Linked DNA regions of Schizosaccharomyces pombe. Changing the gene in region 1 together with any one later gene gives a genetic interaction. Each region holds a gene or a part of one and is shown on either strand. Other genes may lie near its edges. The genes, in order: rpb6 and tfs1.

What was found.
Region 2: of rpb6 (region 1) and tfs1, extra expression of one rescues a mutant of the other (dosage rescue), as found in Schizosaccharomyces pombe (one study listed by BioGRID).

The regions. Positions count from the first base shown.
Region 1 is NC_003421.2:781,024-784,751, reverse strand, and holds rpb6 (DNA-directed RNA polymerase subunit Rpb6), read right to left. Parts: upstream 1,716-3,728; 5' UTR 1,652-1,715; coding exon 1,377-1,651; intron 1,159-1,376; coding exon 1,005-1,158; 3' UTR 675-1,004; downstream 1-674. Other genes in the region: mmt1 (mitochondrial iron ion transporter), read left to right, coding at 1-502; Tf2-12 (retrotransposable element/transposon Tf2-type), read left to right, coding at 2,618-3,728. UniProt on the Schizosaccharomyces pombe protein: DNA-dependent RNA polymerases catalyze the transcription of DNA into RNA using the four ribonucleoside triphosphates as substrates.
Region 2 is NC_003424.3:2,114,413-2,118,576, forward strand, and holds tfs1 (general transcription elongation factor TFIIS), read right to left. Parts: upstream 2,045-4,164; 5' UTR 1,970-2,044; coding exon 1,901-1,969; intron 1,844-1,900; coding exon 1,781-1,843; intron 1,606-1,780; coding exon 926-1,605; intron 863-925; coding exon 838-862; intron 789-837; coding exon 744-788; 3' UTR 501-743; downstream 1-500. Other genes in the region: protein dsc3, read left to right, coding at 1-351; ATP-dependent 3'-5'-directionality DNA helicase fml2, read left to right, coding at 2,457-4,164. UniProt on the Schizosaccharomyces pombe protein: Necessary for efficient RNA polymerase II transcription elongation past template-encoded arresting sites.

The DNA.
Region 1 (3,728 bases):
ACTAGCCAATGCCTGGCATCATAGAGCAGATGCATTGACGGGAATGGTTTCACTGCTTGCTTTATCCGGCACTTACTTTCTTAATGCTCCATGGCTAGATCCGTTTTTTGGTTGTTTAGTAAGTATTGTCGTTTTTAGTGCCGGCTTCAACTCTTCTAAAAAGGCCTTCTTGCAGCTTTTGGACCGAGCACCTTCCGAAGAGTTACGTATCGCAGTAACTGATGCTTTATTGAAGGGAGAAAAGCTTCCATATAAAATCGTTACTATATTAGGAAATGCACATGCCATGCATGTGATAATATCTGTTCCTCCATCCTTCACATCTCAACAGTCGTCCGAATTGGCACAAAAGGTAGAAAAGACTGTTTTGGATGCTATCCCTGCCCTTTCCAGTTGTATCGTGACACCACTTTCCTCTGACTCTAATCAGGTTCATAGATGGCAACACTTAAATGGGTCTTCTGGTGAACATTCGCATCCATCTCATGAGCACACTCATTAGATATTATACCTTGTAAATTTCGCAATCCATGCTTTGAAACTGATAGTAATAGAACATTTGAACATATCTGAATGATAGGTGTGTAGTAAGCAATTTTGAGTTTTCTGTGCTCTAGAATTTTTTTCAGATTAACAGTTGTACAAAAAACTCCGTGATCAATGAGTTTACATTTACACAGCTACTAAAACTATCGGAAAAAGTTATTATTAAATGCATTCATTGAAGAACGAGAGCTAAAATGCCCCAAAAAATTTTTTGACACAAGAAAAGAAGATTTCTAGAATAGTAGCACAAGCCTTTTTTTTCTCCCGAGGATAAATACGTCCCTATTTCTAAATCGTAAATTAATGGTATAGAGCTAAAAATTTAGTCCTTTTGCTTTTATTTTCTTTTCTTTACCATAGCCAAACGGCTTCGCTCACGTAAAACAAAAGAATTAGGAAAAGAACGAGGTGAATCGAACGAGCGATAGAACGTATTTGAAATTGGAACACTTCTTAAATTAAATGAGCTCCGCTACACTCCAGTCTTCATAACTGCCATCGGGTAAATATCGCCGGACTAGTAGAGGAATCTTTTTTTGTGCAAGCTCCTTCATGGCAATTTGCAAAGGATCAGTTTCACCTTCCAAATCAACTAAAACAGGTGCGTTCATACTAAAATAAAGAGTTAGAAATTAAAAGAAAGCTCAATTGAAAAGAAACAAAATTCATCATAATCAGACAATCCTAACTAGAAAATAAAAAAAAAATTTTTAACTATATCGTTTTTTTTTAAACTCCATGACTGCAAAACAGCATAACGATTCAGGACTTAAGCAATTACGCTAGTGCCTTTGTACGACGCTTTATTGTAAATCCACGCATCTACTCACCTAATTTGAAGTGCTCGAGTTCCCAAAATACGAGCGCGTTCATACTTTGTCATATAAGGAGTAGTGGTTCGGTCTTCCTTTGCTACCGCTTTACCAGATTGAGCTGTTTTTGAGCTAGCAACATCTTCAGTAATAACGGTAGTCGAAGGTTCACCAGGATGAGAGACGCCTTGCTGTGATTGCCCATTTTCATCGATCATCTCCAGTTCATCGACTTCCTCCTCCATAACAGCACCGTCCATTCCAAAGGCCTCATCCTCTTCATAGTCAGACATTTTGTATGCAATTGCCAAAGGAGAAAAGGGGGACAAGGGCGAATCTAAAAAATTGGAAGTTGACAGAGGAAATTCTCATACACCTAGTCAGCGTTCGAATTGTGAATCCGTGTTAAATCTCATTACTTTACACTACAATGCACTATTTACATCTTATATGTTTAATTCATAGAAAGATCGAACGCACGCTCCACTGAAACATTTCAGAGACTTTTTCTTTTATTATTCAAATTATTTTTTAAATCAATAATTTAATTTGATAAAATTGACTGATTGAGAGTCTATTTGTTACTATTACTTTATCATCTCTCTATAAGCATGTCTGTTACCTTTGCTACTTTGTAGAAATTAACTACTAGCTATTGTACCACGTCTCAGGTTAAACTTGTCGCATCCCAACGCATCGTTAATGAGTTCATCAAACGTGTAAACCCTCTTAAAAGGAACTTAATGTCAGCAATACTACACTACGCTATAATACACTACGTTGAGTATCACTATATGTCACATGTTCTAATTATATATCGTACCATGTATGATACGATATGGAGATTGATCTTAATGATAATCTATTAAGATCAATATTATCTGAATACTATAAATAGAGCTACTGCTGAACCTCGTTCCTCAGTTCAGTTATGAGCTATATTAGTGATAGGTAACATTATAACCCAGTTAATACAATACCTATACTCAGTTGCTACTTATACAACCTGTGTATCGTAATATAATAGATCACAAGGAAAACTCACCGCAGTTCTACGTATCCTTAAATCAGATACCAAACTGCGTAGCTTACAATAACTGAACTCTTGTGATCTACAATTAACTCCTTTTAGGAAAAAGGAATTATTGAATAAATATATATCATAAATATATATATTTCTCTCCTTCTGGGTTCAAAGGAGAAGGAACTTTGGAAGGACTGTTATCCCTTTTGAAATCTCCCAAAGGGAAACATATACAATGTCCTACGCAAATTATCGTTATATGAAAGCAAGAGCAAAACGATGGAGACCAGAGAATTTGGATGGAATTCAAACATCAGACGAACATTTAATAAACCTTTTTGCAAAAATATTATCGAAGCATGTACCAGAGATAGGGAAATTCGATCCAAATAAGGATGTTGAAAGTTACATTTCAAAACTTGATCAACACTTTACTGAATACCCTTCATTATTCCCAAATGAGCATACTAAAAGACAGTATACATTGAATCACCTAGAAGAATTAGAGCAACAATTCGCTGAACGCATGTTTTCTGAGAATGGAAGTCTTACATGGCAAGAATTACTCAGACAAACAGGGAAAGTACAAGGATCCAACAAAGGTGATCGTTTAACTAAAACATTTGAAGGTTTTAGAAATCAATTGGACAAAGTTCAATTTATAAGGAAACTCATGTCAAAAGCAAATGTTGATGATTTCCATACTCGCTTGTTTATATTATGGATGCTGCCATATTCCTTAAGGAAATTAAAGGAAAGAAATTACTGGAAATCAGAAATCAGTGAAATTTATGACTTTTTAGAGGACAAAAGAACAGCCTCGTATGGTAAAACTCACAAGCGTTTTCAACCGCAAAATAAAAATCTAGGAAAAGAGTCCCTTTCAAAGAAAAATAACACCACTAATAGCAGAAACCTGAGGAAGACAAATGTTTCGAGAATAGAATACTCATCTAACAAATTCCTAAATCATACTAGGAAACGTTACGAAATGGTATTACAAGCTGAACTTCCAGACTTCAAGTGCTCAATACCCTGTCTAATCGATACGGGCGCTCAAGCAAATATTATAACAGAAGAAACTGTTCGAGCACATAAACTGCCTACCAGACCCTGGTCAAAAAGTGTGATATATGGTGGAGTTTATCCAAATAAGATTAATCGCAAAACAATAAAACTTAACATAAGTCTAAATGGAATATCAATCAAAACAGAATTCTTGGTTGTAAAGAAATTTTCGCATCCAGCTGCTATCTCCTTCACAACATTATATGACAATAACATTGAAATATCTAGCAGTAAACACACGCTCTCTCAAATGAACAAAGTTTCAAATATTGTCAAGG
Region 2 (4,164 bases), on another chromosome or scaffold:
CGTGGTTTTGATCGTTTACGTGAAGCTGGTTTTACAGAAACCGAGGTCAATAATTTGCGTAGCCAATTTCATCGCTTACGAGGAACTAATTTGGATTCACTCACGGAAGACGCTATCAGAGAGGCAGAAGACGATTGGATTGACAATGGAGGACAAAACTCTTCTGCCGACGAACTTGACATGTCATATGAAACCTTGTTGGCTGGAGTATTAATAGGCTTTTTTGGAGGAGCTATTGCTTGTTATTTTCTTTGGGAAAGGACAATGTTCTCTCTGAGAATGCAATTATCCATTCTTGTCGGAATTATTTGCAATTTTGCATACGGCTTATTACACTCGTATCGATGGTAAACCCGTTCATTTTTGTTAAAATTTTTGTCCAATACAATTAATCGTTCCACTTTTCGTTGCACTTGTTAATTATGACTACAGTTTAATTGAGGATTAATAATGTCGAATTTTATGATCTATTCGCTTTGATCAAGCGTTAACTTATTAAATGTACGTTTAAAACACCATTTGGATTTATTAAGAAGTGTAAAGTAGGATAACTGTAAAAGTGTCGTATTGAGTGTGCAAAAGTAAAATATGCATATATTCATCGCTAGAATGAAAGATACCAATCAGATCCTAAAACAAAAAAAAACACACACAATAGAGGAGAGTGCTTCTAAAACAATAAAAAGAAGAAGAAATATGAAGGATTATTTTACAACCGGTATCTAAATGGGCTGACCCAAGATTTAAGAAAATTTCCAGCGATTTCCGCAAACAGTACATTCACAAAACTAAAAAAAAATTAGTCCAAATATTCTACCCAAATAGACTAATGCTTACCGTTGTCATAGGCTCATCAGCAGATCTATACGGATTGTTAATAAATTTTACGCGATAAAAAGTACTAAAATCATGACAAATAACATACCTTGTTTGCATTTGGTAATAAGAAACTTTTTTTTGCTTACACTTCCCACAAGTAAAAAGGTCTGTAACAGCTTTTTGGGGTTTAGCACCTTGCGCATGGAATAAATTTTCTTGTTCTAGCTTGGCATCTTCCTTGCGACGGTCTTCTGAAGCCAATTCGGCAGAAGTCATGGTACTGAGTCTTTGCGGAGTAATTTCATTTCGTAATACTGATGCTCTAAGTTTCGGGTTATTTTTATCTTTAAGATTCATATACAAGGACCGCATTCTGTTTCGATATTCAGAACCAGTTTTACCTGCTGCTCTAGCAAGTACTTGCGCATCAATTTCTTTGGCTTTGGCTATTATTAATGAAGAAGATTCATCCGAATCTATGACTAATGCATTGTACATTAATCCAATACAGTTGTTGCGAATCTTGTCATCAGTCACATTGACGTTCACATTATCAGATTTAAAAGTACGCTGACCACTGCTGCTTTGTTTTTGAACTTGTTTTTGAGCTTGAGAACCTACATCCGCATGTTTAGAAGGCGTGGAGGAAGTTGTAGTTGTGGTTTTCAATGGACGACCTTTACTAACATCGGCTTTCCATTTTTTTACAATTTCCCGAGCTTGCTCACCAACTTTCTCATTGGGATGAGATCTGAGCTTGCCAACGACTAATCCCAGCCGGGTTTCCTAGCATCATTGGTTAGTATTTTGAATACCGATTCTCCATCAAATGTTGGTACTCTTGTGGAATTCGTATTTTAAGAAAGATGTTATTTCTATTAAGTGAAATTTGCAAAATTCATGTAATATATTGTCAACAATCCGTGCGAGAATACTACCATATTGCATGTAATAAACCTACCTTAAGTAATTCTTCGGTAGCAACTACTTCATTTTTTAAACGTGTCATAATGTTAATTATAGTCTAGCTTGATATTAGCTTCAAAACCATCTGTAAGTCCCAATAGCACAAATTACAAACCTCTATATTCTTTCCCTGAATAGCTTTTTCCAAAGCTGCTTTCGCAGATCGGATATCAGCAGAGTCCATGATTCAAATTAAGTTCGAATACTGTAAACACTGCTGTTGGTTAGCAGATTGCAAAATTAATAATCTTATGGTGGTAGAGGATTTATTTTGGATAACGCGCTTTACATCTCACATGTCTACTAATACCGTTGTGATTTTTCTTCACCACCATAGTTGCTGATGTGAATATCAACACCCCGTAACGTGATTTTGTTAGTTGAATTCTTGAGTTTGACAGTTTTTTTTTCAAGTTTGCAAACTGTTTTCTGTTTATCGCATTAGTACTCGTGTTTATTTTACAACGTTAAATTTTCATGCTCCTCCGCTGACTTGATCTTACTCAATTGTTAATTGTTTTATCAGCTTTGTTTATGAAAAGCAAAGATTATAATGTTGTTTGATCAAATTGAAGAAACTTGATGTTCAAGAATTTAAAAGTTTGATATTCAGTTTATTTTTGAAACTTACTTTGGTCTATGTGTTCGTTCGTTTTCATAAATTTAGTTTCATGATTGTACTGAGAGACTCAAGTGACTATTCCGACTCTGAAGTAGACCTGCCAAGTATCGAGGTGAACGGAGAACGAGGAAATGTTCCTACCTCAGTGCTTTGTAATGTTGAAGGATCTTTGTTGAATTCTAATCCTGCTTTAAGGCAACCAAATTTGAAATGTATAAAACATAATCAAGACGTTGAAAATACTACGTTTCAACTAGACTTGCGAGGCTGTAGGGTTCCTTCTTCTCAACCTCAAGTTATAACTGAGTTAGAAAACAATATTGACATTCCAAAAAATATTGATGCAATGCAAAACTGGATTTTTCCACAGACTCAGCAGTATAGAAATTATCAAAAGGAATTTTGTGAGCAAGCATTATTCCACAATTTATTACTGGCTCTACCTACTGGGTTGGGAAAGACATTTATTGCGGCAGTGGTCATGTTAAACTATTTTCGTTGGTTTCCTGAAAGCAAAATAATATTTCTTGCCCCCACAAAACCATTACTGTTGCAACAAAGAGTTGCTTGTTCCAATGTAGCGGGAATGTCACCAGGTGCTACCGCTGAATTGAACGGTGAAGTATCACCGGATCGTCGACTTTTCGAATACAATACGAAACGAGTATTTTTCATGACTCCACAAACACTCCAGAATGATTTAAAGGAACATTTACTGGATGCCAAAAGTATTATTTGCCTGATATTTGATGAAGCTCATAGAGCTACTGGCAACCATTCGTATGCTCAGGTTATGAGGGCAGTGCTTAGATCTAATAGTCATTTTCGAGTCCTTGGTTTAACCGCAACTCCAGGATCTTCTACCGCCTCTGTTCAAAAGGTAGTAGATTGCCTCCATATCTCCAAACTCATTGTTCGCAACGAAGAAAGTATAGATATTCGCTCATATGTTTTTCATAAAAAGATTCAGTTGATTAAGGTCACGATCTCCTCTGAAATGAATATTTTAAAATCGGACTTTGCTAACCTATACCGGCCATATTTTAATTTTCTCCGTCAAAAAAAACTTATACCTATCAATTGTGAATGCCTTAATATAAAAGCTTATACGCTTTTCGTTTCTTTACGAAAGTATTCCTTTAGTTCAAAAAATGTACAATCTAAAGAAAAATCAAAAATCATGAGTTGCTTTACGCTATTGATTTCATGTGCTCATATAACGTATCTGTTAGATTGTCATGGGATTATCCAATTTTATCAAAAGCTTGTGGAAACTAAAAATAAAGCTGAAGGAAAAGGGAGTGGACAAAGCTTTTGGTTGTTTACTAGTAAACCGTTTGCTTTTTATTTAGAACACCTTCACAATAAAATTCAAGGTTTGTCATTAAACCATCCTAAAATGAATCATCTTCTTGAACTTTTGAAAGAACATTTCAAAGATACTTCTGAAGGCTATCAAAATCAACGAGTTATGATTTTCACAGAATTTCGAAACACTGCTGAATATATCACAACGACATTGTTGGCAATTCGACCTATGGTTCGAGCTTCTTTATTTATTGGGCAGGCGAACTCGGCTTACTCAACTGGCATGAATCAGATGCAACAAAAAGAAACTATCGATCAATTTCGTGCAGGTGTTATAAACACGCTAGTTGCTACATCAATCGGCGAAGAGGGTTTAGACATTGGTGATACCGATATGATTATTTGCTATGATGCTTCATCTTCACCGATACGCACGATTCAAAGAATGG